Tamandua tetradactyla: one gene and its partners. The protein of the gene in region 1 purifies or fractionates together with the protein of each later gene. This does not show direct contact. Links are inferred from orthologs where the notes say so. Each region holds a gene or a part of one and is shown on either strand. Other genes may lie near its edges. The genes, in order: CBX5, DAXX, AHDC1 and MBD1.

Evidence for each region.
Region 2: the proteins of CBX5 (region 1) and DAXX purify together in Homo sapiens (affinity purification with mass spectrometry; 3 studies listed by BioGRID and IntAct, with this or other methods). This does not show direct contact. The link is inferred for Tamandua tetradactyla from reciprocal best matches to the Homo sapiens genes CBX5 and DAXX.
Region 3: the proteins of CBX5 (region 1) and AHDC1 purify together in Homo sapiens (affinity purification with mass spectrometry; 3 studies listed by BioGRID and IntAct, with this or other methods). This does not show direct contact. The link is inferred for Tamandua tetradactyla from reciprocal best matches to the Homo sapiens genes CBX5 and AHDC1.
Region 4: the proteins of CBX5 (region 1) and MBD1 purify together in Homo sapiens (affinity purification with western blotting; 3 studies listed by BioGRID and IntAct, with this or other methods). This does not show direct contact. The link is inferred for Tamandua tetradactyla from reciprocal best matches to the Homo sapiens genes CBX5 and MBD1.

The regions. Positions count from the first base shown.
Region 1 is NC_135333.1:115,670,124-115,677,023, forward strand, and holds the start of CBX5 (chromobox protein homolog 5), read right to left. Parts: upstream 3,002-6,900; 5' UTR 2,855-3,001; intron 1-2,854. Other genes in the region: HNRNPA1 (heterogeneous nuclear ribonucleoprotein A1), read left to right, coding at 3,655-3,669, 4,202-4,318, 4,601-4,747, 4,861-5,071, 5,153-5,245, 5,328-5,420, 5,655-5,729, 5,904-6,053 and 1 more. UniProt on the Homo sapiens protein: Component of heterochromatin that recognizes and binds histone H3 tails methylated at 'Lys-9' (H3K9me), leading to epigenetic repression. In contrast, it is excluded from chromatin when 'Tyr-41' of histone H3 is phosphorylated (H3Y41ph).
Region 2 is NC_135331.1:89,253,939-89,261,388, reverse strand, and holds the start of DAXX (death domain-associated protein 6), read left to right. Parts: upstream 1-4,439; 5' UTR 4,440-4,545; intron 4,546-4,591; exon of another isoform or gene 4,592-4,637; intron 4,638-5,409; 5' UTR 5,410-5,461; coding exon 5,462-5,668; intron 5,669-5,821; coding exon 5,822-6,653; intron 6,654-6,779; coding exon 6,780-6,994; intron 6,995-7,148; coding exon 7,149-7,344; intron 7,345-7,450. Other genes in the region: SMIM40 (small integral membrane protein 40), read left to right, coding at 1,913-2,155. UniProt on the Homo sapiens protein: Transcription corepressor known to repress transcriptional potential of several sumoylated transcription factors. Down-regulates basal and activated transcription.
Region 3 is NC_135328.1:198,675,589-198,683,384, forward strand, and holds the start of AHDC1 (transcription factor Gibbin), read left to right. Parts: upstream 1-4,789; 5' UTR 4,790-4,807; exon of another isoform or gene 4,808-5,249; intron 5,250-5,486; 5' UTR 5,487-5,584; intron 5,585-7,796. UniProt on the Homo sapiens protein: Transcription factor required for the proper patterning of the epidermis, which plays a key role in early epithelial morphogenesis. Directly binds promoter and enhancer regions and acts by maintaining local enhancer-promoter chromatin architecture.
Region 4 is NC_135344.1:32,380,176-32,387,488, forward strand, and holds the start of MBD1 (methyl-CpG-binding domain protein 1), read left to right. Parts: upstream 1-4,294; 5' UTR 4,295-4,866; intron 4,867-6,243; 5' UTR 6,244-6,268; coding exon 6,269-6,378; intron 6,379-7,313. Other genes in the region: CXXC1 (CXXC-type zinc finger protein 1), read left to right, coding at 328-354, 432-677, 847-954, 1,094-1,278, 1,488-1,695, 1,775-1,885, 2,027-2,076, 2,231-2,327 and 2 more. UniProt on the Homo sapiens protein: Transcriptional repressor that binds CpG islands in promoters where the DNA is methylated at position 5 of cytosine within CpG dinucleotides. Binding is abolished by the presence of 7-mG that is produced by DNA damage by methylmethanesulfonate (MMS).

The DNA of each region.
Region 1 (6,900 bases):
AATCCTCCTCAGAAGACTTTGTTCCCTGGATACCTTTCCCTCCCTTCAGCACTATTGTCAAGGACTCTCAGAATTTCCAGAACTCTCCCAGACATATAAAAATCCAGTCACTTCAGATGTTCCTTCTTTCTCTTTCCCCAACCATTATCCTGTTCACTATCTAGATAGAAGCTTTCTACTTATTAGCTTTCAGACAGATCAGGGAAAATGTGTTATTTTTCCCTTGTAGTGAATAAACCTTTTAGGTATTGCTTTGTATGCCTTAAAGCTAAGCACAAGTGTTTGAAGAATCCACTCAGAGAGGAATCTACGGACGTGGCACAATTTGGTTATCTATTTTTCATATCAAAGTTTTGGTGGGGGTTTTCCCCCCACCAAAACTGTGGTTCTATACATGGTGATAAGCTGTGAAATCAAATCAGTTCAGTAGAAAAATGGAACTTCATTTTTTACTAAATGTAATAGTATACTATAAATGAGAAATATCAGAGTGCTTTGCCCATGTATTTAGTAGAACTTGTGTACATGGACAGTGTAAAATGTATTTCTTTCTAAGTAAACATATTTCTTTTCTAAAATGTATTAAAAAGTTTTGGAGTCATTGATCAAAAAGATTCTCAGGAAAGAGGCTTAAATCAAGTGAAAACCTAAGAACCATCTATAATTTATGATTATTTTAGGAAGTCCAACAAACACAAAATATAATTAACCAATATGTTTAAAATGTAATAATCGTAAAAACCTGAACGAAATTTTCCTTTTATCCAATGGAACACTGATCAAGACTATCGGAAGAGATTATCCAAGAGCTAATTACTAGGATTTAGTGCTCCATTTACCACCAAAGGCCACTCCCTAAACACTTCAGCCACTTCTTCCCTCCTTTACCTAATTTCAAATTGTTAAAATGTTTTGACAATTCTAGCATCTGCCATATTTTAGAGCACTGATTTTCCACAGGGGAAGATTTTGAGCCCCATCTCCACCCCTCAAGACATCGGACAATGTCTAGAGACATTGTGATTGTTGCAATTTGGGGTAGGGTGAGAAGCTACTGTATTTTAGTGGGTAGAGGCCAGGCATGCTGCTAAACATCCTTCAATGCTCAAGACAGCCCTCTACAGCAAAGAATTACCCAGCTCAAAATGTCTTGTGCTGAGGCTGAATTTGAGATCAAAATAGTATTCCTTTCAAACCTAAACAAACTGGAGACAAATATCCTTAACCTCACTTCAGTTCTTAAAAAGAAAGCAGCTGCATCATTATCATACATACAATTAGGTTTGCGACCATAAAATAAACACCTTGAAGGAAATATAATCAAAAGGCAATGAATTATCTGTTTAATGGATCTTCCTTTCCCCAACAGTCTAAATATCATTCTCCTTAACTTCCTTATACAAATACAAAAATTCTCAAAAAGAACAGCAAAAAGAGGTGTTCAAAAATCTCTAGGGTTGTAAAAAATCTCTAGGGGCACTCCTCAGAAAAAAACTAAGATAAAGGACAGGGTCATGGATAATCCTTATAAAGCACTTAGCATTATGCTTAGCCCTACTAAGTACTCAAAAAAAAGTTACTTATTTTCATACCGAAAAATCACCTTAGTTAAGGGGAAAACAACACTCTTTAGAGGTTGAAAAGGGGTGGTGAGAAGTAGGTGATTATGACTGGAATACCAAAAAAAAAAAAAACCAACTGCATTTATTTTTTATTTTATTTAATTTTGGTAACATATATACAAACAATTTCTCATTTTAACCACTTTCATGTGCACAATTCAAACAATTACATTCACAATATTATGCTACCATTACCATCATATCCATGACATACCTTTATTTTTGTAAATTTAACTTTAAATTCCAAATTATTGTCCCTGCGAAGATTTAAACACTAGGGATAAACACTTAAGTGCCCACGGACCAACCCAACCCGCCCTATCCCACCGTGTTCCAAGAGATAAATAACATACTTTGGTGTCTAGCTTTCCAAAAACTTTTTCCATGGATTTATAAACGTATCTAATTTGTCCGTAAAATATGCATTATTATTTTGTAGATGTATCTCGATGTCTTTCCATAACTGTATACAGAGATGTATCTTATTCGTTTTAGCATTTTGTCAGTCTTCCTAAAGAAGCGAATTCCCAAAGTCAAAAGGCCTCCACGGCTCCCCCCAAAACCTAAAAAGTGGTGGACGATGGGGTGAAAAAAATACCAACAAACGTATGGTTTCCCTACCAAGCAAGTGAATGGGATGGAGATCTAAACTAGCATTCATTAGAAAAGACATTGTGGATAAAATACCCACTCTCGCACGCCATCACTAGCATTGATCCCCCTTCCTTGCACCCCCAAATCTCAGCCCTCCCTCTCTTGGTACGCTGATTGGACCACCAGCCCGAGCGCTTTCCTTAGGCTGTCTGCCTACTGGTTCCAGATCTGGTCCATCCATGTAGCCGCCCGACTCCCACATTCCCCATTGGAGTCGAACGGCTGCCTCTTGCAGAAGCCCAACCTACCGCGCGCTTCCTACTCATTGGCTCAGTGAAACGCTGCTCAGGAGGCGAAAACCCGTCTCCCACATTCCGATGGCCCAAAGACCGATCAGTCAGTAGGTAAAGGGAGAGCCAATAGGTCTATATACCCGCCAGTCAAACTCTTCAGCTGCCCAACTCTAAAACCCTACAGGGCTAAAACATCCCGCCCCCTGATCTTCTATTGGTTAGCTGGGCCCACCGCTCCCCCTTCCCTAACCCCCACCCCGCGATCCATTCATTTCACACAATAACGGGCCCAACTGGAGTCGGTTCAAGACCTCGTATGGCTAGACTAGATTGTCTGCCACTTACCCGGGATGTAGAGCGATCACTCACGCTAACGTCTTCTCTATCCCTCTGTGGTGAGGTCCGACTACTGGCCACAGCTGCCGCCGCCTTCTGCGCAACGCCAACCGCCCGCCAAAACGGATCCTTTCCTGCGCCTGCGCGACCAATCCTGGGACCGGACCCTTTCTCCGCCCATTGCGCCTGCGCAAAAAGGGGCAAAAAAACTCCCGCCATTACGCAGGCGCTCTAGGGTCAACGCCCTCTCCCGTCCGCCATTTCGCGTGTTCCAAGCGGCAGCCGGAACTTCTTAATGCGCCTGCGTAAACTCGCCATTTTCTTACACATGCGCTTTGAAGGGGGTTGGTGCAAAAAAAAAGGTACATGTTAACTACCTGTCTTAATACAGTATGAAGCGTGATTTTCCAAGTCAATCGAATGTAATAACTGGGGTGTTAATAATTAAAAAGCATTTTAAACAGTCTATGTACGTTCAAATATGAATGACTGGTAGGCTAGCCAATCAGACAGGTTAAGAATAATATTACTCAGGAACCAATGGATTCTAAGGGGAGGAGCTGCGTAGAACGCCCAAACGGATGACGTTGCATAGCAATGCGGCAAGACAGGCCAATCGTAGAAAGAAGTAATTTCAGATATCCAATCATAGCTAAGAGGGGGCGGAACCCACCAATGCTGAAAGTGAGGAGGCGGGATAAAAGGGAGAGGCAGAAGGTAGGTTGGCATATAGTTTCGTTAGCTTACTCCTTTCTGCTCTTGGACGCCGCTGGGGAAGCATCGTTGAAGTCATTCCTCTCACTGCCGTCATGTCCAAGTCAGAGGTAAATTCTCTTTTCAACTTCACTGTCTCTATCGACCTTTCCTAAGTTCTTTAGGATTCGGCTTCGTTTCGGTGCTTGCAGCAGCCCATCCAACGATTCCTTCCGTAGCTGCCAGGGCCTACCCCTCCCAAAGTTCGGGTCGCCATTTTGTCCTCGTCGTCGCCATGAGGCCGGTTTCCGGCAACCATTACTTATTACAACGGGCTCATGCTAACGCCTGGTAAAATACTTAGATCTGTCCAATCTTTTTGGTTTTGTTTAAGCTTGTCTCGGCGTTCTAATTTCTTGACAATTTTTCGTCCCTTACTGGCGACGCACCCCTCCCGCCCCCTGCTTTTGTTGCGCGTGCGTCGGGAGGAGAATAGGGACGCATGCGCTTATGGCCTTCCATCCGCAACAAGCCGTCCCTGAGAGGGAAAAGCACATGGTTTGTCGCGGCTTGAAAGAACAATAAGTGCAATGTATGCTAGCGGCTAATTTTGCCCCTCCTGTCTGTAAGATTTCCACTTGATACTTATCCACTCACTCCTAGTCTCCTAAAGAGCCTGAACAGCTGCGGAAGCTCTTCATCGGAGGGTTAAGCTTTGAAACAACCGATGAAAGTCTGAGGAGCCATTTTGAGCAATGGGGAACGCTCACGGACTGTGTGGTAAGACTTGGAAGGGGTAAAAAGGGTAGTAAAACCTGGTAGATGTCCTAGGGCTACACTGTTAATTTGAATGCCTATGAAGTTAATAGGATTAGTGTTTTTAAATAGATTGGTCAAGGAAGGTGTGGCTTTTTGTTAATGACTTAATTAAGGTCTCTTTTTAAAAATCTAGGGTGGTGGGAAACGAGAGTTTTATGGTCTCCCTACTATAAACTTGCCTGTTAAACGTAATCAACGTTTGACAGTTTCTGGGAACTTTAAGTCAATTAAAACCTTTCTCAGGTAATGAGAGATCCAAACACCAAACGCTCCCGAGGCTTTGGGTTTGTCACCTACGCCACTGTGGAGGAGGTGGATGCAGCCATGAATGCAAGGCCACATAAAGTGGATGGAAGAGTTGTGGAACCAAAGAGGGCTGTCTCAAGAGAAGTAAGTGTGTTTTACTTTCCTTAGTCATTTGGAAATGTGTTATTAGATGTTTCAGATTTGTGAGAGTTGTGGGATTTTTTTTTAAGTAACTGACAAGGTTTTCTTCCGGTTAGGATTCTCAAAGACCAGGTGCCCACTTAACTGTGAAAAAGATCTTTGTTGGTGGCATTAAAGAAGACACTGAAGAACATCACCTAAGAGATTATTTTGAGCAGTATGGGAAAATTGAAGTGATTGAAATCATGACCGACCGAGGCAGTGGCAAGAAGAGAGGCTTTGCTTTTGTAACCTTTGACGACCATGACTCTGTGGATAAGATTGTCAGTAAGTATCAGATGACTGAGACTAAGAGTTCCAAAATCCATGTGTTCCTTAGGGTCACCTTTTTATCTTTTCTGTTTTTAGTTCAGAAATACCATACTGTGAATGGCCATAACTGTGAAGTAAGGAAAGCCCTGTCTAAGCAAGAGATGGCCAGTGCTTCATCCAGCCAAAGAGGTCTGTGTTACTTAATTCAACCTTATTAAGTAATTCTGAGTAATCTCAATTTGTATGGCTTAACGTTTTCTTTCCTTACAAGGTCGAAGTGGTTCTGGAAACTTCGGTGGTGGTCGTGGAGGTGGTTTTGGTGGGAATGACAACTTTGGTCGTGGAGGAAATTTCAGTGGTCGTGGTATGTATGGTTGAAGTTTACTAAGAATAAGCTTGTGATTTAATTAACTCAGATAAGTGGTAGTATGTATCTACTGGCCTTTATTTTCAAAGTTACTAATTTATCCAAATGTAGTGCTTGTTTCTCCTTAACCAAAAGTTTAAAACCCTTTGGCATAGAAATTATAGTTTCTTTTTCAGAATAAGTGGTTCATATACTCAAGCCTAATTGTATTAACATTCTGCTTTCTTCTAGGTGGTTTTGGTGGCAGCCGAGGTGGTGGTGGATATGGTGGCAGTGGGGATGGCTATAATGGCTTTGGTAATGATGGTGAGTTTTAATTTAAGGAATATGTGGGTAACCTGTTTTAGATTAGGATAGTAGAGGCTAACACTAGTGCGGGACAACTTCAGTTGTCACCATAAACTGCATGTTGTGAGTGAGCCTTTGTGCTTACACAGATTTTAATAGTTGAATACTTAGAGAAGAATTGTATTCTTGTAGGTGGTTATGGAGGAGGCGGCCCTGGTTACTCTGGAGGAAGCAGAGGCTATGGAAGTGGTGGACAGGGTTATGGCAACCAGGGCAGTGGCTATGGCGGGAGTGGCAGCTATGACAGCTATAACAACGGAGGCGGCTTTGGCGGTGGTAGTGGTAGGTATCCAGTGATCAAAGTATTTGGTGTGAGGGCTAGACTAGCCTCTTAGTTTATAGCTATATTGGGATTTGATGCTCTTAAAAGGCATTAGATGATCTGCTGCATGGTATGTTTTTAAATGGGCTTGCTGTGCTACCTCCTCCTAGCTTTAAGCTGGGGCCGCCTCACTCACAAATAGATAAGTGGATAGTGATGTCTTCAGCTGGAGTTAGATTAGCTTCCATAGCAGGGTTGTATTTTAACTCTCCTTTGGGAACTTAGGTACTGGTTGAGTAATCCAAGAAAGCTGCTTATAGTGATTCAATGCCACTATAAAAACTCTGAAATCTTTTAGGTTATGGTAATTGGAACTATCTAAAGTACTGGATTGGTCAACTGAATGCCTTACCCAGAGAAGATGAAATAACAAGGATGACCAGAGCTTGGTAGTCGGGCAAATGATAAACCTTGTTTCACTTCAGAACACTAAACAGACAAAGGACTTGTTTTCTTTCCTAGGAAGCAATTTTGGAGGTGGTGGAAACTACAATGATTTTGGCAGTTACAACAATCAGTCTTCAAATTTTGGACCCATGAAGGGAGGAAATTTTGGAGGCAGAAGTTCTGGCCCCTATGGTGGTGGAGGCCAATATTTTGCCAAACCACGAAACCAAGGTATGATACAAACCTGTAGTATTGGAAGAATTAAGTATAGCTGTGCCTAGTATTGATAAGGGATGCCTTGAAGTTTTGTTTTCTTTTGTCTTATCTTTAACACAAGGTAGTATGCATAGGCTTAAAAACTTGCCTTATATATTAAAAGCTCAGATTTTAAGTATACTTGAAATGGAAAATGAACCTGTT
Region 2 (7,450 bases), on another chromosome or scaffold:
AGGCACCAGAATCAAACCTGGGTCTCCAGCATGGCAGGCAAGAACTCTGCCTGAGAAGCCACCATGGCCCGCCCAACACCCCTCAATATTGACATTCCATTGTTCTTCCTCATGCAAAAACATTATTTAATTTTTACATTTAGCCACTGTCATTGTACATTCTAAGCATTCCTAGATTATACCACCTCAGTCTTTATTGTCTATCTTTCCTTCTGCAAACCCTTGATCTTGAGGCTTGCTTTTATGAAGCCTATTTCTGTAGTGGAGAAACTAAATCTACCTATGGTTATGCCTTAGAGTTACTTCCAGAAAACCTCTTTTGTTGCTCAGATGTGGCCTCTCTTTCTTTCTCTAAGCCCAACTCTGTAATGGAAAATTATTACCTTCCCCCCTCCATGACACCCAGTGGTCAAAGCTTCCCTGGGAATGTGGGACATGACTCCTAGGGATGAGCCTGGCCCTGGCATTGTAGGATTGACAATGCCTTCCTGACCAAAAGGGGGGAAAAATGTTACAAAATAAGATAATAGTATATAAGAAAGTTCAAATATAGTTGAGAAGCTATTCTGGAGGCTACTCTTATGCTACCTTTAGCTAGAAATTGCTAATTAGCAGGGTTTGCCAAACCCCAACCAAAACCATTCCTGTTAAACCTAAAGAACACCTAGGGCTTTAGTGGAGATTCTACAAAAGTTTCATACTCTAAGATTATTTTCCAGAAATCTACGACCTCCAGATGGTTTCCTAGGCCAGATAAGTCCTGAAATCCAGAGAGCAGCTTCTCCAATAACAGCAAGTAGTTCCATCTCCCATCCTATATTATTGAAACTCCTTTCCAACATGAAAAAGTTAGAGTAGGCATAGCCCAAATACCCCTAAAGATTGGGAGAAGAATCAGAAGAGAAGAAAGAGTTATAACAAAGAAGATGGAATTTAACAAATGAATTATATACTGATGCTTCTTTCAGTCTCCAGTGTCTTGGAGCAGCTAGGAATAAAACTCTAAAATTGTGGAATTGTAACCCATACCAAACTCTGAAATCTGTTCTTTAGCTACTTGTTACAATGTACTTTGAAATTTATTGTTTTCTGTATCTGTTATATTTCATAATAAAAATATTTTTTAAAAAAAGGAGGTTTGGGTAAGGTAGCCCTGGGTCCATAAAGCCTATTCATAACCCTTCTTTCACACTGCAGAGGCCTTAAGTTCAGAAGACAGTGCTCTACATTTTAACTAAACGTGTCAGCCACTGGAGACGTGAGTGTGTGTGTGTGTGTGTGTGTGTGTGTGTGTGTGTGTGTAGGATATGTCTGTACAGAAGAGACCTGGCTGCTTGCCACCACCCTTCTCAGATAGTTGTGCCCCTCCCACATACACACTGTTAAACTGGAAGGGGCTGCAGAAGCCATCTAAAGATCTAGTCCCTTCCTAGACTGTCAGAGGCTTACATTAGTTCATTAGGTCCACTTGCTTACCTCCTATATGTAGGGTTCTAAGGCCCTGAGCCTAGAGATCCAGAATGATTTGGGCAGTTCAGCTGCCTGTTCTTTACAGCTTGCATGTTGGATCTTCAGTTTCCAAACCACAGAACCATAGGACAATAAAACTGGACAGGACTTAGGGATCTGGACTACACGATCCCTAAAGTGCTGTCCAGTTTTACTGTCCTATGATTCTGTGGTTTGCATTGGATGATTCCTGTTCACATTGCACTGGATGATTAAATGACTGTTCCCAAAGGCTCAGAGCCTCTTCTTTCCTTTCTCCTTCTTGGGTGAGGGAATTCGGGTCATGGTAGACAGGTGCAGAACTCATGGCCAGCACCACAGTCTGCCTTAATCCCGGGAGTGCTGAGCCAAGGCTTCCATCCCAGACTCCCTAATTCAGCCAGCTGTCAGACTGTGGGTCAGGATGGCAGAAGAAGAAGGCAATGTGGATGAGGAAGATGTGTTCCTGGCATTTGCCCATGGTCCAACTCCAACCAGGGGTCCTGTGTGTCGGGCCTTGGACAAGGCTTTATTTATCTTCCTGGCCCTTTTTTTGGCACTGCTGATGCTGGAGGCTGCCTATAAATTGCTGTGGCCACTACCTTGGGCAAAATTTGGGGACTGGCTCCTGGGCACACCTGAGAAGGAGGAGGAGCTGGAATTGTGACCACCTTTCCATAAATATCCTTTTTCTCTGCCACGGAGGTGAGAGGGGAGACAGGAGGGAAATGGGAGTGTAGGGGGCTGCAAAATGGCTACTTGGATAGCTCAGAGCAGTCTTAAAATATTTGCATTACGCTCCCTGAAATAATTTTGAAAGTCAATACTTCCTCACATATTAAACCACCCTTTTGTTTTTATTTTAAAATGCAAATATTTCCAATATGCCAAGAATTACATCCTTGAAACAATTTTAATTTATAATGAAAAATTTTAGCTGCCTATTTAAAGGTATGTGAGGAAATATTAACTTTTTCAAAATTATTGAAATACCATAGCAACTTGAAACCCACAAGCACCCATTAAAAAATACATTAAGAAGTTTTTCTTTAGCAGTTGAGAATCTGCTTTTCCTTTCTTCATTATCTCCTTTTCTCCATGAACTACTATTACCATTCTACTACCCCATTCCCAGATAATTTTATATTTTTATACTTGAAAGTCTCTTATCGATCAACCTATATACTTTAATGCATGTATATATACATTAATTAAAATGAAAAATATTTTTCTTTCTTGTGACTATAAGCTCTAGATGTTGACAATTTTTCTTCTGGGTTGGGTTATTACAATTATTATTAGAATAAAATTGATCAAAGCAACATAAAGATTTTGCAAATTTTTATAATTATTAAAAGTAAAAAAAATACATGTCTAATGGAATAGACAAAGTGGCATTTACAGCTTTGATAAAGGAAATAGGTTACCTGTCTCTTTGAGACAGAGTAATATTACCCCAAGTGATTTCATGATTGAAAGCTATACTTCCTTTTCTTTTGAGGAAGAAAGTGTATTGAAAAGGAGAAGGGATGAAGGGAAACCTCTATTGCAGGGGCTTACTCAGGAAGACTAGTTTTGGGAAAGTTGAGGATTTGGACATTAAACCCTTTAAATCTTCCATTTCTGAATACCCTTTGGGGGGTTTTCAAGTTTCCCATTTTGAAGACTATAGGTTTAAAAAACTGGAGATAAGTAGTATGTGGGATTCTTTAATGGGCGGAGGCTTTAAAGTTCTGGGATTCTGATGGCACGGGGGACGTAAGGACCTCTGCAGTCCTGGAAAGTGGAAAAATGCCCACTTGTGGAATGCGCAAGCATGTAGGTGGGAAGTTCAGAGACTGGGGCGATGTTAACTTAACCAGGAAAAATATCTGGTTTCCCCATAAATTCAACTCTGGACCCCGCCCTGGCTCCATCAGTCTCTCAGGCCTTCCTAACGCCGGGCGAGGTTGGGGCGGGGGTAAGGTGGGTGTCACAGGCGGTTTCTTTTCCTTCGTTCTTTCCTCAGCTCTCCCAGAGGAAAAGGAGACTAGACCCGAGGTTTTTCACAAGCCTCATTTCGTCTCACAACCCTCACAGTGGATTTGCACAGATTCCCCTCAAAGCTGCCGCACCATCGTTCATCCTCAGGCCCTGGGGCTCTTCCACAAAGCACAGCCTCCTGGTCAGCACCGCCCGCGCTTCGGGGACCCCCAAGAGAGGGACGGAGAACCACCAGGTCCCATCTGCTTAATTTCTGTGGAGCTTGAAAAGCAAAGCAACAGCAATAATAACAATAACAATCCTATAGCGCGTTGTGCTCATTTGTATGCTTGTATTATGATCTCACGATTGGGAGATGTAGGCATCTTGATGTAGAAGTAGCTGCTGGACAGCGGCAAGGGAGCGCTCAGCTCTTGGAAGGGGAGGGGCTGGCACGGCTGATTATGCTGTGCACATGGTACCTGGGAGATACGAAAGCAAGGCCGGAAGGCTTAATAGCCTAGCGGAAGGAAAAGGTTTCATTTCCATCTTAAGAGACCCCCATCCCTCCGTGACTCCTGAGCAGCCTTGAAGAACTTAACTCCTTATCCATCCTGTTCCATCCCCGCGTGCCCTCCCCCAGTTGGAAAGGTGGCTTAATCCTCCCTGCACGCTACTCGCTGCCGATTGTGCCCGAGGCAGGAAGTTTCTGATTGGCGGAGTCGCAGAAGCACCGGGTGAAAAGAGATCAGCTGGCCGCGCTGAGCCAGCGCCGTACGGCAAAATGGTAGTTCCCGGGTGCTTTAGGACGCCCTGCAGGGACAAAACCCCGCCCCCTACAGATCACAGGAAAGGGAACCGCAGACAACCTGGGCGGCACTCGGAGGTCCCGGGTGGAAGGCGTACAGTTACTTCCGGCCACAGGAAAACAGGTTTCCGTACGACAAGATGGCCGCCACTAGGTGCATGTAGGCGGAAACTCGGCGGCTTCCGGTCCTGAGTGGGGCCCGCGGTGGGAGGGGGAAGGAAGGCGGAGGGAACCATGCGAGGTTCTGAGATCCGCGGCGAGGGTCGCCTCGAGAGACCGTTTCTGAGGTGGGGGCCGGACGGTGTGGGGAGTGGGGGCGGGGATATCGGGGGACAGGTAGTGGGGAGGCCCGGGCTCTGAACCTGAAGGGCAAGCTGTGGTACCTTCCTATGCTTGAGGGGGAGCGGGGTGGCTAGGAGCTGAACTGGGGGAGGGGGACTTGGCGGGAAGCTCACCCAGGGAAGGACCCGACCCAAGGTTGGGATGAGAGGAATCGGGAGAGCCCAGTGCGGGGCTCACGAGCAGTTACGGGTCACTGAGAGAAAATGGGGGAAATTAGAGTGGGGTGAGAGGAAGGGGATTCGTGGTGAAATATCTCCTGTGGGTTCGAGGGGACCTATTAGAGGTTGAAATATAGAGATAATTCAAGGAGGAGAAAGGGTTGTTGGAAGGGTCCATCTTTTACCTGCAGGGTCTGGGAGTTAGGCTGATAATTCAGGATGGGGTGGAGGTACAGATTTTACGTGTTTGATGGCAAAAGGGGAAAAAACACCTGGGGTGGCGCCGATGGGGGTGTGGTATCAGCAAGGTGGTGTCAAAGAAATCTGGGATCCAGTGTGGGAGGTGGTCCTGGGGCTGGGATGAAGAATCAACTTGCCAACTGTGAGAAAACAGTGGAGAAATGCAAGGAAGAGACCGGAAATCGGCTTGAGGGGTGGAGCTGGGGGTGGGGACTTAAGGTTTGGCGGTGGTTTGGGGCCCCAATAGGTGAAGGACATGAAAAGCATATGAAACTAATGGTTGCTGAAAATAAGCAGTGAGGAGTTGGGCAGGGCTGAGTGTAATTGAAACCCAAGAAGATTGGAAATGTGTGAGATGAAGGGATGGGGCTGTGCTGGAGGGGCTCTTTCTAAGGCCCCATCCCCTTCCAGCAGGATTTCCGAAATCCCCAACACTTCCACCCTCCGGGGGATTTGATCCCCCATGGCCACCGCTAACAGCATCATCGTGCTGGATGATGATGACGAAGATGAAGCAGCTGCTCAGCCAGGTCCCTCCCACCCACCCCCCAGTCTGGCCTCACGCCAGGCAGAAGCCCCTGGCTCCTCCGAGCCCCGTGGGGCTGGAGGAAGCAGTAGTTCGGGCGGCAAGAAATGCTACAAGTTGGAGAATGAGAAGCTGTTTGAAGAGGTGAGCTTTAGGGGAGAAGATTCGTGTATCTCAGGGAGGGGGATGGCTGATTGGCTCATCTGTCCTTTCTTTCCCATTAATCCCACGCTCCCTTTTTTCTCTCAACCCCCTCCCTTGTCTCTTTCCCCTTCCCTCTCTCCCTGTACCCTCCAGTTCCTTGAACTGTGTAAGAAGCAGACGGCGGACCACCCTGAGGTGGTCCCATTCCTCTCTAACCGGCAGCAGCGTGCCCATTCTCTGTTTTTGGCCTCAGCGGAATTCTGCAACATCCTCTCTCGGGTCCTGTCTCGGGCCCAGAGCCGGCCAGCTAAGCTCTATGTCTACATCAATGAGCTCTGCACTGTTCTCAAGGCTCACTCATCCAAGAAGAAGCTGAACCTGGCCCCTGCTACCACCACCTCTGTTGAGCCCTCTGGGGATAACCCTGCCACAAACCCCTCTTCGGAACCCACAAATGCTGAGACCTCTGCCTCTGAGGCCCCAAGGACCCGTGGTTCCCGGCGGCAGATCCAGCGCTTGGAGCAGCTGCTGGCGCTCTATGTGGCAGAGATCCGACGGCTGCAGGAGAAGGAGCTGGATCTCTCAGAACTGGACGACCCGGATTCCACATACCTGCAGGAATCTCGGTTAAAGCGTAAGCTGATCCGCCTCTTTGGGCGCTTATGTGAACTGAAAGACTGCTCTTCACTCACAGGCCGTGTCATAGAGCAGCGCATCCCCTACCGTGGCACCCGCTACCCAGAGGTTAACAGGCGCATTGAGCGGCTCATCAACAAACCAGGGCCTGATACTTTTCCTGACTATGGAGATGTACTAAAGGCCGTAGAGAAGGCAGCTGCTCGCCACAGTCTCGGCCTCCCCCGACAGCAGCTCCAGCTCATGGCTCAGGATGCCTTCCGAGATGTGGGCATCAGGTTACAGGAACGACGTCACCTCGATCTCATCTATAACTTCGGCTGCCATCTCACAGATGACTATAGGCCAGGTAGGAGGTTAGCAGGATGCCTATCAGTGACCCTTATATGTCAGGTGTGTGGCCGAAGGGGCAACTCTCTAGTCCTTCCTTCTAGTGTTTGAGTTTAGTTCTCTGACTTTATATTTTCCCACATAGGCATTGACCCCGCACTGTCAGATCCTGCCCTGGCCCGGCGCCTTCGGGAAAACCGAAGTTTGGCCATGAGCCGGCTAGATGAGGTCATCTCCAAATACGCAATGATGCAAGAAAAGAGCGAGGAGGGTGAGAGACAGAAGAGAAGAGCCCGGCTTCCCCAAGGCGCTTCTTCCCACTCTGCAGACTCCCCCAAACCCTCCTTGGATTCTGGCGAGGTATGGGAGGGACATTCCCTCCAGAGAGGCTATAGCCACCCTTGTACTAGCCACCCAGAAGTCCAGGGTGATTGATGGGGTAAAGTGCAGAAGGAAATCAAAGACTGGAACCTCTGGGGCAAGTGATTCCTTAGAGAAACTCCTTCGTCCCCAGGGCCCTAGTGGAATAGCATCCCAGGAGTGCCCTACCACCTCCAAGGCTGAGACAGATGAGGAAGAAGATGAGGAAAGTGATGAAGAGATGGAAGAAGAGGAAGAAGAGGAGGAGGTTACAGATTCTGAAGAGGAGGATCTGGAACAGATGCAGGAAGGTCAGGGGGATGATGAAGAGGAGGAGGAGGAGGAAACAGGTATGTTAGGGAAACATTCTCGCCAAATGTTAGTTTCCTCTACTCTATTGGCCATAAGCTATCTGTTTGAGACCCTTCCCTTCCTCCTCTTTTCCCCTAGCACCCC
Region 3 (7,796 bases), on another chromosome or scaffold:
TGACGTATGCATCCCACTGCTCCATGGAGCAGCGTGGCAGAGCATGATACTGACCCTGTGTCAGGTCCAGGGAGGACACCATGCAGATAAGGGTCTAGAGTGGCCTCATACATGCCAAGGATTGTACTTGTAAAAGAACATTTATGAATTCCACACTTAACTGATACTGCCTGTAGGCCAGTCCTGTCCAGGAGGCAGAACAGCTAACAATTATAACTCTCAGGGGCAAGGTCAGTTTGGGGGCCAAGGGAGGCTTCTTCGAGGATGTGAAAGAAAAGTCTGCCTAATGAAGCAGTCAGTGGATGGAGGCATCTTCTGGTGCGGGAACAGCATGTGCAAAGGTATAGAGGAGCAAGGGCCATTCAGACAAGTTCAGGAAATTACGTATGTGAAGGCCAAGGGTGAAGATAAGCCTGGAAGAAGGTTGGAGGGTCAGAAGGAAGGGGGCAAGGTAAAAGGTAGGAGGGGAATAACAAAGGGGCAGACCCCCATGTTGCAGGAAAAGTCAGAAATCCAGAAGTCCAGGACCCATTTCACAAGAGTCTGTCCTGGATCTCACTGTTCCAGTAGAATGCTGGTTGGATCTTCTATCCATTCCAGTAATTCCCTCCTGTGTATAGGGTCCAAGATTTCACCCCTTCCCCTGGCCCATCCACAACCCCAAGCCTGGACCATCCTGCAGTGATGTTCACTCTCCCTCTAGTGTCCACTCTGGGTACTACACCACAAACTGCAGGAAACTCCCCAGGGATGGTACGTCCCTTCAAAACTTTCCCACCGCAGCATAGTTTCTGCCCTCAACACACTGGTGGTGGTGGTAGGGGAGTGTGGCATGAGAAGCAAACACAGGTAGAAAATGGTAGTGCAGGGTGTGTTGTGAGAGCAGGGGAGGGTCCTAACTCAGTTGGATAGGGTCCAGTGATGCTTCAGAGGAGGTGATGCTCCACTCAAGACTTAAAAAAAGAGTAGGAGTTTACTTGGTAAGGAGGGAGAGAAAGACATTCCAGACTTGATGGGGAATTAAGTGAGCAAAGCTCAGAGGCAGGATGTAGGGCTGCCCAGAGTTACAATCAGACAGGTGTGACTGGAGTATAAAATCTGATGGGGTTAAGGGTTGAAGATGAAGAAGGAGAGGTAGGCATGGGCCTTGCCTGCCATGCATGGGGGATGTGACTCCAAATCTTGGGCAATGGGAAGCCACCGAAGTGTTATGAGCAGGGGAGTACAAGGTCAAATTCTTTCAGAAGGAACTCTCTGGCGACCAAAGAAGGAGGAAGAATGAGAGGGAAAGAGGCAGGAGAGGGACATTTCTCTTAGGTACAAAGACCCATACCATATCACACTTAGGACGACACATAGCTTTGGCCAGGCCTGTGAACCAGATATGTCAATACACGCAATAACACAGACTGAGCACCCACAGACAAACATGGATGTTTTCATATACACTCATCCACATAACTCAGGTCCATGAATGGAAACTGAGAACACACAAATTTCTCCCTGGATAGCAGGAGCCATCACACACACCCTGATGGACACAGGAATTCTCACATGCGGTGTAGCTGTCAAGGGCCCTACCCTGCCCCCCTCTGTCTCCTCTGGGTCCCTCATCACCTCCGGCAGGAACAAAGCTGACCTTTGCCCTCTGGCCTCTGGCCTCTCCTCCCACACCCCCTGCCCAGAGGGAGGAGCTGTTTGAAGTCTGGGCTGCAGCTGGGGTTTCCTGTTGCCTGGAGGAATGTGGGAGGACTTGCAGGGGGAAGGGAGAAGGGCCTGCCAGGAAGGAGGGATAATGAGGGCCTGAGCCCCCACTTTCCCACAATGAAGGGGGCTTTCTGCTTTCATGGTTTCTGGACCCCAGCTCTGAGCTGCTCCCATTCAGAGGTGGGGAAGCTGGGGCCACAATGGCTTCAGTCCAAGGTGCTTCTTGTTCTTTGATCTGCAGCTCAGTGACTCGGGGCGGGCCCTCAACCTCTCTAGGCCTCAGTCTCCCTTTCTGTGAACTGGGCTGACTCACTCTCTAGCAATGCACATCTCCCCTGAGGCAGCCCCAATAAGGAGACTAGTCCCAGCATTTCCTGTAGTTGGGGACTCCCGGGTGGGGTGGGGGTGGGGTGGCAGGGGAGTGCAGCGCCTGTTGCTACCAAAAGCCCATTTCACTCTGCCCCAGCCTCTCGGTGACTGTCATTATTATCATGATGCAATAATCCCTCACTGTGCCCTTGTCAGTTTTCAAAGTGTTTTCACACCCATGTGCCCAGTTAATTTTCCCAATTGCCCTATCTGTAGACAGTAAAGGGACCACTACCTCTATTTTGCATGTGGAAACTGAGACTCAGGTGAAAACACACCCAGCAAGTAAAATTATCAGAACCAGGTCTGTCTCCCTCCAAACCCTGAGGCGTACACCTTTATAATCTAAACTCTCACCCATATTCCCTGAAGTACAGCTATGCCACCTTCTGCTCACATATCAAAAGCGGTTGGAGTGAGCTGGGCCTGAAAGGGATGATGAAGGCATTCTAGAACCTGGGTCCCCTTAAGTCTCCTTTCTCCTGGAGTTTACAATTGTCCTGCCCAACTGTGGTGACCTGGAACCCTGTTTTAAAGAACTGGGTTAAAGAACTGGGAACCCTTTTAGCCTACACTTTCAGAGCAGACACAGAGTTAGGTCACTAGGTGGCAGCAGCAGCCCACAGGAAGACTATGAGCTTGCAGATCCCTCCACCACCACCCCCCAACACAATTTAGAGAGGCTCCAAGAGAAAGACGAGCCCCCCAAACGACAGGGAAAACCTGTAATGCTTGGGTTCCAGGATATCCAACATTTTGGAGGCTAAAAGAACCCACTTTTTCTTGGGAGGGGACAACTGAAGCAGCCCGGGACAGGAAGGTTGTGCTTGGAAAATCCCATCTAACTTCATGCATCCAGTTTTGGGTCCTACTACCTCTCCCTCTGCACCTCATCACTTAAGCCTCTGATGGTTTTAACTAGTGCTTCCTGACCATATAATTCTCATGTTCAATGAATAAATCTTTGAACCCAAGGTCCGTCTTGTCTGCAAAGGGAAGCTGCTTGCATGCCAGCCCCAAGATACTAAATCAATAGTGGTACAGCTTAGAACCTTAGACCTCTTCTGCTGCAGTCCCACCCCCCTCCTTAGGAAGGACCAATAGTAAGTGCTCCCCAGACTCCCTCTTTTGTCCTCTGGGGAGACTAGGTTGTCTTAGAGGAGGGTAAGACTACAAGGCTTGGGAGAGGTGGAAGTGTGGGGAAGGTGGTACTAGGGAGCTGCAGTTAGCAAAATGTCAAGACATGTCTTTGTCACACGTTGGTCTTCACTTTGCAGGACCAAAGGAGGAGTCAGAAACAGGTGGACTCAGGACAAAGGTGCTGCCAGAGTAACTTCAGACACAGAGCAAGACAGACAAAGCCAGCAGACAGGGAGCAAAGGAATGTCAAGCACACGGACGAGGTGGGGCAAGCATAGGACCAGTCAGGGCACGGTTGGTAGACATTGAGGATAGGACAGCGACCATGCATTATTCATTTCCGTGTCCGCTGCAAGCCCTGCATACCTCAGTTAACATTTGTTGAATTGAAGTGCCAAGAGAGGACACACAGACGCAGAAGAGAAGGTCAGGCAGAGAGTAACAACTCCCTGCCTCGTGTATTTAGCCCAGGAGTCAAGCACATGGGCTTTGGAATCAGCTGGGTTCCACCTTTTCCTAATTGTCATCACTTCCTTAATGCCCTCATCTCTAAAATGGAAATGATAATAACAGTACCATTTCAGCCGGTTGTTGCAAGACTCAAGAGCCCTGCGGTGCCCAGTAAATGGCAGCCGCGGCAATTCTCCTTCCCGGGCTGTCCTGCCGCCTCCCCATGGTAACCAGGCCCTCAGCAGCAGCAGTGCACATTCCCATCGGCGGGGTAGGCCAGGCGGGGGGCCCTGAGGCAGGGGCTGGATAACAGATGTGACCTGAAGAAGACGTAGGTGAAAGTGCTGAGCCCAGCCCCCAGCCGCAGCAGGGGCTCCGAACTGTTGAATCTGAATCCTGTTTCCAGATACATTGTAAACGCTCAGTCGAATTCTGCAAGGTGGGGGCAGGGGCAGGGGCAGGGGGAAGTGTGGGGGGGTGGTTATCTGTGGATGAATCAGGTTTTTTGCGCACTCCCCGCCCTTGGGCTTTTAGAAAAACTAGGCTTTGGAGGGCCTAAAGCGGCAGCTCAGAGCTTGAAATGGGGCGGGGGCGGAGGGTGGTCACTAGGTGGAAAGGGGGAGCTGACTGGGGCTTTGAGGTTTCCTCAGCGGCCCTCCCGCCATAAGCCCTGGCGCTTTACTCAATAGGTAACCTATTCAGAAAAGGAGCTCGTCCCCAAATTCAGAGAGCCGGTCCTTCCCTCTCTCTTCTTCTCCTCCAATTTAATTTCGGTGCCTCAGAAAGCCGCAGCCCCTTTGGTTGCGCCCCCTATTCTCTATTCGAGTCCCATTCCGTCCCCAGACCCCGCCCCTTCGCCACCACCCGCAACTCCGCTCCAGCCAGAGCACCCCGGCGGAGACACGGGACGTGGAGAACATTCCCAATCTTTGGGGAGGGTCGGCGCCCCTCAGTAAGCCCGAACGCGCTCCCACTGGAGGCGCCGGGGCGCTAGGGTTCGCCGCCAGCTCCGGACCGCGCCGTCGGAGCTGCCCGCTAGGCCCCGCCCGCCCCGAGCGCCGCGCGGCCGGGGCGAGGACTACAAGTCCCGGCGTGCCGTGCGCGCGCTCCCCCCTGGGGTTCCGGATGGTGAGCGGTGAAGGTAAGGCGAGCTCGCAGAGGCAGCGGCGGCGGCAGCGGAGACGGAGAGAAGCAGGCAGGCAGGGCGAGGGCGAGAGACGGAGGGAGGGAGCGAGCGAGGCAGACCAGACAGACAGACAGGCGGGCGGGCGGGCAGAGCGAGCCACCCGCCAGGCTGCGCTCAGCCCCGCTCGCAGCCGAGAGAGCAGAAGGCAGGAGGAGGGAGGGGAGGAGGCGGAGGGAGGGAGAGAGGGAATCCAGCTACCACCACCCAAAGCCAGCGTCTGCTTTCTGTCCTCATTTCCTTTTCCCACCCAGCTCGGAGAGCAGAGAAAGGCAGAGAGAGCGAGAGATAGAGATAGTCAGAGAGAGACAGACAGACAGCCAGAGAGAGCGGGAGGGAGGAGGGCGGAGGAGGAGGAGCAGAGAAGCAGGAGGACTACGCGGGGCGCGTTCCCTCCCAGGTTTGCAATTGGGGAGGTGGGGGCGGGGGTGTCCAGGGCTGTGAGAGTGTGTGCGCGGTGGGGGGGAACGAGGGGGGGCGCAGAGAGAGCGAAGGAGTGATCGAGGTGGGGGGGGGCGCCGCGGGAGCGGGGGGCCGTGTCCAGCGGAGTTAGCGGCGGAGAATGTGAACCCAGGCGCGAGCCATGCTGTCAGCGACGGCGGGCGGCTCAGGGCTCCTCCACGACTCCTCTCCCCAGCAGCCGGGCGCCCGCGTCGCTGCCGCCGCCGGAAGACGGACGCCCCCCAAAGCCCTCCGCCTGGCTCGGACCCACGGAGCCGGCAGCCCAGCACTCCGGTGAGTGGCGCCTCTTCCCCAACCCCAGTCCCTCACTGGGGACCCGCCGGTTGGGCTCTTTTGTACAGCGCACCAGGGGGGACCCCGCGCCCCCTCCGCGCCCCTCGGTCGGGTCAGCCGGACCCGGTGGCTGCGGTGCCCGCGGTGCGATCGGTCTTTGTTTCCGCCGGGGCCCGCGGCTCGGCTGGGCTCGGCTCGAAGCCTGGCAGGCAGCGCCGGGAAGGGGGAGGGGGAGGCGGACGGGGAGGGGGGGTTGGGAGGGGGGGTTCTCGGGTTTCCTGGCCGCCCCACGGCTCCCCAGGCTCGGGGGCGAGGTGCGCGCCCAGCGCTGCCGCGCGCCCCCTCCTCCTTCCCCCTCCCTCCGCCTTTGGATTTAAAACTGCAATTTGCTCTCCAGCTTGCTGGGAATGGGGGGGGATGAAGGGGGGACCGTGGGAGCGGAGAACAAGGCTGGATTTTAGGATCGGCGTTGGAGAGACGGGAGACTGCGGAGAGAGGAGCCCCTCCCCTTCAATCCCTAAATCCCAAGGTTCCGCTGGTGCTTTGGGAGTTGAGGGGCGGGGACCTAATGACCCGGAGGGGTTGTGGGGCGGAGGAGGCTTTTGGGGGCGGCCAAAGCCGGAGGGTTTGGGCCGCGTGCCCGGTTACCTGGCGAACAAAGTCGGCTCACTTTTGCATAAATAAATAAATAATCGCCTATCAATGCGTTTCCTCTGGGGCCCTGATTGAATCGGTCCCCTCTTCCCCAGGGGGTGGGGTGCTGAGTGACAGCTGTCAGCCCCCTGGGCCCGAGCTGGGGGTAAATTGCTGAATCCCTCTGCTTTCTGGCTGAAGGCGCCTTCCCATGCTGGGTCTGGGTCCCCCGGCAGAGCCAGAGGGGCAGGGGGCTGGCTCTGAGTCTAGGAAATAACCTTGTTTCCTGTTCTACAGGAAAAGGGACAGCAACCCAGAGTTTGGGGGCTGGATATGAGGTCTGATGGGAGTTGGGGGGGTGCCCCAGCAGCCTGACCCCCCCCCAGCCTCCTGCCAGGCATAGGGGTCAGCTGAGGGAGGAAGGATGTGGGCCTTGCTGGCCGGAGGCGGGAGCTGGGGCTGTCCCTGAGGCAGGCAGCGGGCACCGAGAGGGAGGAGGGAGAGAGAAGCGGGGGCGGGAATTCTCTACCGCAGACCCTGGGGGCCAGGGCCAGATGTGGAGGGGTGGGGAGTCCCCCTCCCGCCCAGCTTGGGGGCCCTGGGGCTGGGCTGGGAGGGGCTGAGCCTAGTGCCCTCAGTTCTGCACCAGTGCCTGACTGGCAGGGCCAGCTGAATTCGAGCCCAGGCGTCACCCTGGGAGGCAGGGCAGTGCTGCACCAGCGTGGGTCCCTGAACACGAGGAGGGACCTTTGGGGGGCCTGTGCCCGTCTGGCTGGGCAGGCGTTTCCCGCCGGACCAGTTGGTGTCAGGCGGGACTTGGCCCCAGCTCCCTGGGCAGAGCTCAGGGTATGAGGACAAGCTTTGCCTCCGGGTCAGGGTGGCCACATTTTGTCCGCTGCTGCTGCCGCTGCTGGCGGGGCGGGGGCATGTGCCCAGGCCTGGGCAGAATCCTGCCAGGAGCATTTGGGGTGTTTCTATTGTTGGCTTGTTCCAGTTCTATGTGGCCCGTGCGTCTGCGGCTGGGTGAGCTGGGCTGGGAGTGAAAGATCACCAGTCCGTCCACCCCTCCCATGGCTCCTGGCTTGGAGGTGCCAGGCTGGGTTGTGGTGGTGAGCTGTTGTAGGGGGAACCCCCCAGGTGGCATATACATGCCTCTTGCCATCTCCCTCCTTTGAACAGATGTATATTTATTTTTATAGTAATGGAAAATCAAACTGGATAGTAAGTCAAATTTATTTTTTTATCCTGCTATGTCAATAGTTGGAGTAACCCCCAGGGACTGGTGAACTTCTCACCCGAGTTTCCCACCCTTCAGAGGATGCAAAGACCCAGGAGGGGATGGGCTTTGGGGGACCAGTGGGCATGAGTCCAAACCAGTGACCCTTTTCTTCCTTGTAGTCAGACATTGCCCCTCCCTGGGTACTCCCCCCACACACACACACCCCAGGGTCTAGTCTGGACTCTCGGCCACCTCCCTGGTCGGTGCCTAAGCTGTGCCCAAGCCCTCAAGGGACATTCCCTGGTGGGCTCTTTCCCCCCGCCTGGGCTCCCAGCCCACGTGCTGATATTTATTTTCTGT
Region 4 (7,313 bases), on another chromosome or scaffold:
TTTGTATCCAGGCAAGTGAGAAGGAGCTTGGCATGTCCAAATTGATGTGGCATGACCAGGTGTGCTGGGCTGGTAGCAGGGTCCCCCCTCCCCCCAGTCTTGGGTATGTTTGAGTGGGTAGGTGGGACCAGGTATTTCTAGGTGTTTGAACTGTCAGGGCAATTGGAACAGGGTTGAGCATGTCTTGGTGGGAGGGCTGGAACCAGTTATGTCTGGGGAGGCAAGGCAGAGCTAGGTGGGTGGGACAGGCACTTGTGGGAGGGGGCTAGGGTGGGGCCACCCCCTATCCACCTGGGGCTGACCTGGGCCTTCCTCCTGCCGGCACAGGAATCGTACAAGTACTTCCCTACCTCGGTGAGTCCAGCCCCCCAGGGTGGGGCGGGGCATGCGGGCAGGGCGGTCAGGGCCAGTCCTGAGATTCTGCCCCTCAGCTCTCGCCAGTGACGCCCTCAGAGTCCTTGCCAAGGCCCCGCCGCCCACTGCCCACCCAACAGCAGCCACAGCCATCACAGAAGCTGGGACGCATCCGTGAGGATGAAGGAGCAATGGTATCATCAACAATCAAGGAGCCACCTGAGGCTACAGCCACACCTGAGCCACTCTCTGACGAGGACCTACCACTGGATCCAGACCTGTATCAGGACTTCTGTGCAGGAGCCTTTGATGACCACGGCCTGGTGAGCAGGCTGGAGTATCCTGTGGTGGAAGGGTGTGGGTTACAGAAGCAGAGAGTATTCATAGTAAGGGGAGAGAGAATAGAAGGAATGGAAGGCCGATTTGGAAATGAGTAGTTGATGGGGTTGTCGTAAGTGGGGCAGAGAGGTCTCTTCATGCCTCCACTTGCAGCCCTGGATGAGTGACACAGAGGAGTCCCCATTCCTGGACCCTGCACTGCGGAAGAGAGCAGTAAAAGTGAAGCATGTGAAGCGTCGGGAGAAGAAGTCTGAGAAAAAGGTGATGGAGTGGGTAGAATGGGCTTCAGGAAGCCAGAGGTCAGGGGCTTCCTCTGAGAAGGAAAAGGGTGGAATGGAGGGGGAGCAAGGTTCTGGGGCTGACTCGACCCTACTTTGATCTCACCTGCCTTGCCCTACAGAAAGAGGAGAGATATAAGCGACATCGGCAGAAGCAGAAGCACAAGGACAAATGGAAACACCCTGAGCGGCCAGATGCTAAGGATCCTGCATCACTACCACAGTGCCTGGGACCTGGTTGTGTACGTCCTGCCCAGCCTGGTTCCAAGTATTGCTCAGATGACTGCGGCATGAAGTTGGCAGCCAAGTAAGTCATCTATGTGTCTACTGATGAGTCACCTGTCCACTATTCAGTCAACCAAATACCCGCCTATCCACCTACCTACTCATCCTTCCTTCCACCTATCCACCATTTAGTCACTTTGCCATTTTGCCATCCTCTGACCACCACCCCACTTATGCATCTTGTTGCTTACTACCTTTTATGCCTGCATCTCACCCACTGCCACCCTGCAGCCGCATCTATGAGATCCTGCCCCAGCGCATCCAACAGTGGCAGCAGAGCCCTTGCATTGCTGAGGAGCATGGCAAGAAGCTGCTTGAACGCATTCGTCGTGAGCAGCAGAGTGCCCGCACCCGCCTTCAGGAAATGGAGCGCCGATTCCATGAGCTTGAGGCCATCATTCTACGTGCCAAGCAGCAGGCTGTGCGTGAGGATGAGGAGGTGAGCAAGTGTGGGCACAGCAGGGCAGGGTTCAGCATTTGGTCCTGCTTGGTCTCATCGTTTCTTCCACCCCATGCAGAGCAACGAGGGTGACAGTGATGATACAGACCTGCAGATCTTCTGTGTCTCCTGTGGGCACCCCATCAACCCACGTGTTGCCTTGCGCCACATGGAGCGCTGTTATGCCAAGGTCAGGGTGTCAGCCTGAGGGGGCAGTTGGTGTGGGAATATCAGTGGGCCCTTGGGAGATAGAATTTGTTTTCTGGGTATTGTTTTGGGAGGGCATGCAGCACACATCCACACTTCCGTCCATTTGTGCTCATCCCTCCAGTACGAGAGCCAGACGTCCTTTGGGTCCATGTACCCCACACGCATTGAGGGGTGAGTGTGGGCGCCACGTGGAGTTAGAAAGGGGTTGTAGTTGGAGTCAGGAGTGGAATGTGAGTGAAGATGGGGCAGGACATGGGCATGGGCAAGGTTAGGTGGGGTCTTCCTTCTTTCCCTCCACCACTCTCTCTCTGCTCCAAACCCTTAGGGCCACGCGACTCTTTTGTGATGTCTACAATCCTCAGAGTAAGACATACTGTAAACGACTTCAGGTGCTGTGCCCTGAGCATTCACGCGACCCCAAAGTAAGGTTTCCCTTCATCATCTCCAATTCTTTCCCTGCCTTTCTGCCCCACATTCATCCCTTCTTTCCTGACTTTCCTACCTTCCTTCCCTTTTTCTTACCTGACCACCTTCCATTCTACCCATTTTCCCTGCCTCCTCACCCCCCTATTCCTCCCAGTATCCCTCACCTCATCACCCTTCATTCCTTTTTCCTTCCTCACTGCCTCTATTCTTAACTTTTTTCCTGCCTCATCATCTTCCATTCTTCCCTGTCTTCCCAGACCATCCTCCATTCTTGCTTTCCTCACAGACCCTTCTTCATCTTCTTTGCTTGACTTCCCACCTCCCTGCCTGAGCAATCTGTATTCTTCTACTTTGTAGTCATTGTCCTCTATTCCTCCCCTTTTTCCTGCCTCCCCACTCTTCCCTACTTTCTGTTCTTCATTCTTTTCCTCCTCCCTCCTTGACCAACCCCATTCTTACCTTCCTCCTTGCCTTACCACCTTCCATCCCCAACCCTGGTCTCCCTGCAGGTGCCAGCCGATGAGGTATGTGGGTGTCCCCTTGTACGTGATGTCTTTGAGCTCACAGGTGACTTCTGCCGCCTACCCAAGCGTCAGTGCAACCGGCATTACTGTTGGGAGAAGTTACGGCGTGCTGAAGTGGATCTGGAACGTGTGCGCGTGGTAGGTTTTGGGGCTGGATGTGGGGAGAGGCAGGGCTTCAGGAGCCCCGTTTCATGGCCCCACATTTTTCCTACAGTGGTACAAGCTAGATGAGCTGTTTGAGCAAGAGCGCAATGTGCGCACAGCCATGACAAACCGGGCAGGGTTGCTGGCCCTGATGTTGCACCAAACGATCCAGCATGACCCACTCACTACTGACCTCCGTTCCAGTGCTGACCGCTGAGCCTCACCTGCCCAGGTCCCTTCACACCCTGCATTCCAGGCGGGGAGCCACTCTGAATTCTCCATATGTCTGTTTCTTCATTCATCTGTTTCTGCGACGGTCCCTGAGTTTCTACTTCTGCCCATCCATCATTTGACTGCCCATCTGCCCTGACCAGAGGATCTCAGTATTTCCCCTTGGATTTGTCTTATCCCTTTGTTTCTACATCCTCTGTGCCTGGGTCAGACCATGGAGTCTGCCCATGTTATCCTCCCTCCCTCCTCACTGAGTTTTGTTAATAAAATTTGGAAGAAGCAAGGAAGAGAATTCCTGATGACCTCTAAACTCGTCTGTGGCTGAAACTGCATTCCCCAATCCCTGAGAAGATGGGCAGTGACACACCTGTATACTCAGGAGGGGCTGCAGTACATGTGTAGTGAGCAAGCATGCGGTTGGCCCTTAAGCTGATCTTCAGGAACCCCTTGGGCTGTTGGCGACAGTAACCTGTTCACATTCTGTTGTTGGGACACTGGGTATAGTCAGCGCTCATTCAGTGTGTGGCTGACTTACCAGCTACTGTGTGAACGTTAATATTCTCCAGACCAGAGGTGTATTCGACGGTGGATGCAAGGCCTCCTTGCTCCCCCCCCCCCCCCCCCCGTAAACTCTTCTTGAGACTTGAGGAACCCGTTCGGTTTTTGATGGAAGTCCCAGCTCCGCTGTCACCCGTTGTGAAGTATATTATGGCCCCACAGAATGGCTTTTGGGTACCGGGCACGCCCTCATTCGGTTGCATGGTGTATGCCCACTGTTTTACCTGTATTGCGGCACCATCCCTTTCCCAGTGTTATCGCGAAAGGAGCTGGGATCTGATCGCCGCATAACTAGTGTCCGAGGGAGGAGAGTGCCAGACTTAACAGACCAGGGTGAGATGGTTGGAGGGACCGGGGAATACAGGAGCGATCTCAGATAGAGGTGGAAAAGGAGGGCACTGTCAGGGAAAGGGAGTGCGTAAGCGTAAGCCCGGCCCCTGACACGCCCCTCTTGCTCGCGCACTCGAGTAAATAGTTGAAGGGAACCAAGAGCTTAGATGTTAACATCTGGCAGAAGACGAAGCACGCCGCTGGACGGATGCGCAGGCGCACCCTTAGTCCTTCACGCCCCCTTCGGTTTAGATCTGGAGCGCAGGCGCAAAAGAAGTGGGCGGAGTGAGAAAAAGAAGGCGCCGGCTGGGAAAGTGAGGAGCGCAGGCGCTGCAGATCCCAAACAGAAGCGCGAGCCTAGCTGGACATCAGCGTGTAGACCCGGGATATACCTAGGAGAGGGGCGTGCCCAATTGTGGGTTCTCAGCGCGCCAGCGCAGCAGGTCCCCAGGAAGGGGAGAGCGCCGCTTTGGTCGTCAGCACGCAGGCGTAGAAGCTTCCCATCTAAGGGCGCGCGCTGGTGAGGCATCAGCGCGCAGGCGTTTCTCTGGGGCCGGAGCCTGAGAGGCGGACAGCGGATTTCCGGTTCCGGGAGCAACGAACAGCCGCGGCGGCGACAGCTACAGCTTCGGAGGCGGCTGCTGCGGAGGAGGAAGAAGAGTAGGGCAAGGCGGGAGGGGCGGGCGGGAACCCCGCCATGGATCCGTGGGCCTAGGGCGGCGGAAACTACCGGCCCGGCGCCGAGCTGGTGAGACAGCCGTGCGGGTGAAAGTAGAGGGCCATCAGGCGGAGGATGGCGAGGAATTGGGTCCCAGAACGCTGTCGGAGAGTAATGAAGGGCCCTCATGCCGATGAGGGGGAGAAATGGCGGCATCGAAATACTGAAGGAGAGAAATTGGGGGGTTTCAGGCGGGGGTTAGAGAGGAATGGGGCTAAGAACGCTGACCGGTAGGAGTGTCGGGATCTTGGAACAAGGACAGAGAGAAATGGGGGCTGGAGGGAGCGGTTCAGAACCCTGAGGGGGAGAAATCGGGGTCTCTCAGCTTGAGACAGAATGGGGTCCAGAAGTCTTGAGAGTGAAGAATAAGGGGCCCTCAGTCAGATGACCGGAAGGAGTGGGAGCGTCGGAGTGGCAAAAGGAGGGAATGGAGCGGGGGTCTCATATGGAGGACGAGGAGGAATAGGGGTTCAGGACGCTATCAGTTAGGGATTGCATCGTAGGATGAGAAGGGAAAGGAATTAGGGAAGGGTGGTCAGATGTTGAAGGGAGAAATCAGGGTCCCAGGCTGATGAGTGAGGAACAGAGAATACGAGAGTGAAGGGGAGTAGTAAAGCACTTGTTGGCTGTGGAGAAGAGGAATGGGGAGGTTTTCCCGCTTAGACTGGGTCAGAACAGTGATGGGGAGGGAAAATAATAGGAGAACGCTTGGGGCTGAGGAAGGGGAGGCTGTGCAGGCTAAGGATATGTTGGAGTTGGGAGCTCTCTTAACAGAAATGCAGAGGAAATCGAGCTCATAACACTGAGATAGAAGGTTAAGAGGCAACCAGGCAGAGGGGAAGGATGGGAGGGTTGAAACACTGAAGGAAAGAAATTGGGGGACTCCTAGTTCAAGAAGGTAAAGGAATGGGAGGTTAAAACACTAAGAGTACTAAGGAACTCTGCCTAGGGATGAGGAAATAGGGACCTGTTGGGCTAAAGATGGCGAATACAGGGGTTTCAGACTGACAAAGGGGAGAATTGGGGGTCTTTAGGTCATTGGGAATAGTCCTAGGCCAAGGACAGGGAGAAATGGGGAGGAATGAGGGAAAGAATGGAAGATTCCTGGGTTGGCAATGGGGAGAAGTGACAGTTTTAGGTAAAGATGGGGAGATCAGAACACAGATGGAAGAATGAAGGCCTGTGGTTCAAGAATGAGGAAAAATAGTGGCTACCTGTTCAAGAATGGGGAGAAGTGGGCCTGGGACAGGGAAGAATTGGGTAAGAGTGGAGGGTTTTCTCTTCCTTTGATAGGCTAATTGTATTTAACAGTTCCTGGGCAGATCTTAATGGATACCAGGGCTATGTGTGGCCTAGAGCACAGGTCCTCTCTTCCTAGAACCTCACTTTGCCCACCTTACCTTGTAGGCCGCTGCCCCTTCCTGTGATTCCTATGGCTGAGGACTGGCTGGATTGCCCAGCCCTGGGCCCTGGCTGGAAGCGTCGTGAGGTCTTTCGCAAGTCAGGGGCCACCTGTGGGCGTTCAGACACCTATTACCAGAGGTACTTGGGTGGGTTGTGGGCAGAGTCAGGGATAGGGCTGATCCTAGTTAGGGGTAGGGTGGAGTTGGGGGATGTTGTATAGGTAGGATTATAATTCAGCTTGTAAGTATATAAGCATGTATGGTTATAAACAAAACACATGCTTTAGAGTATATTAGTGATGTAGTTATTAACTTTCTATATCCTTCTTGAACTTTTTTTGTTTCTGAGTTGCCAGCGTTCTAGTAAAACGTAGTAATATTATAAAGACATTTACTTTTTATTTGTACTGCTATAAGCCAATCTGAATGTTTACTTACTTGTATAAAACTTTCAAAACTAATAAGTAAATGTAAGTGAAATTGTCAAGAAATTGAAGAGTCTAAGTTTACTGTAATAGGATAATATAATAAGTGAATGTGTCACAGTTCTGTGGGTGCTGGTAGGAGAGAGAGACTCTTGGTTAAGAAATGGAAAACAGTTTATTATTCACAGCAGCAACATTACCGAGAACATCATCATTTTTGCACCAGTTCCCTGAACCCCATTTCCCTCAGGGTGATATAAAGATGCTCGTGCAGTGGGTGTGTTATAGAAGATGAACCTTAAGCTTAGGGAATCAGATTTTTTATAGAATGAACAGTAAACATGCCTTTTGCTCTAGAAGGAGACCCTGTCTTTGACAGACATCCTTGAAAAGATAGTCCATAACAAAAGGCAATCAGTGTCTCTTCTGCAAGATATGCAGAAATGCAAGAGATCCATGGAAAATTGTCTCCAACATAGATTACTTGTACTTTGTGTTCTGTGTGATTGTAACTATTTGCATATCTGTGTTTTTAATATACTTATTTCTGATTCTTGTATTTTGTGTTATAATCTTTGTATACTTAGTTTGCAGATTAACATTTATGTATTTTTTGTTGCTATTTGTGCTTATTTTTATTTACATGTAA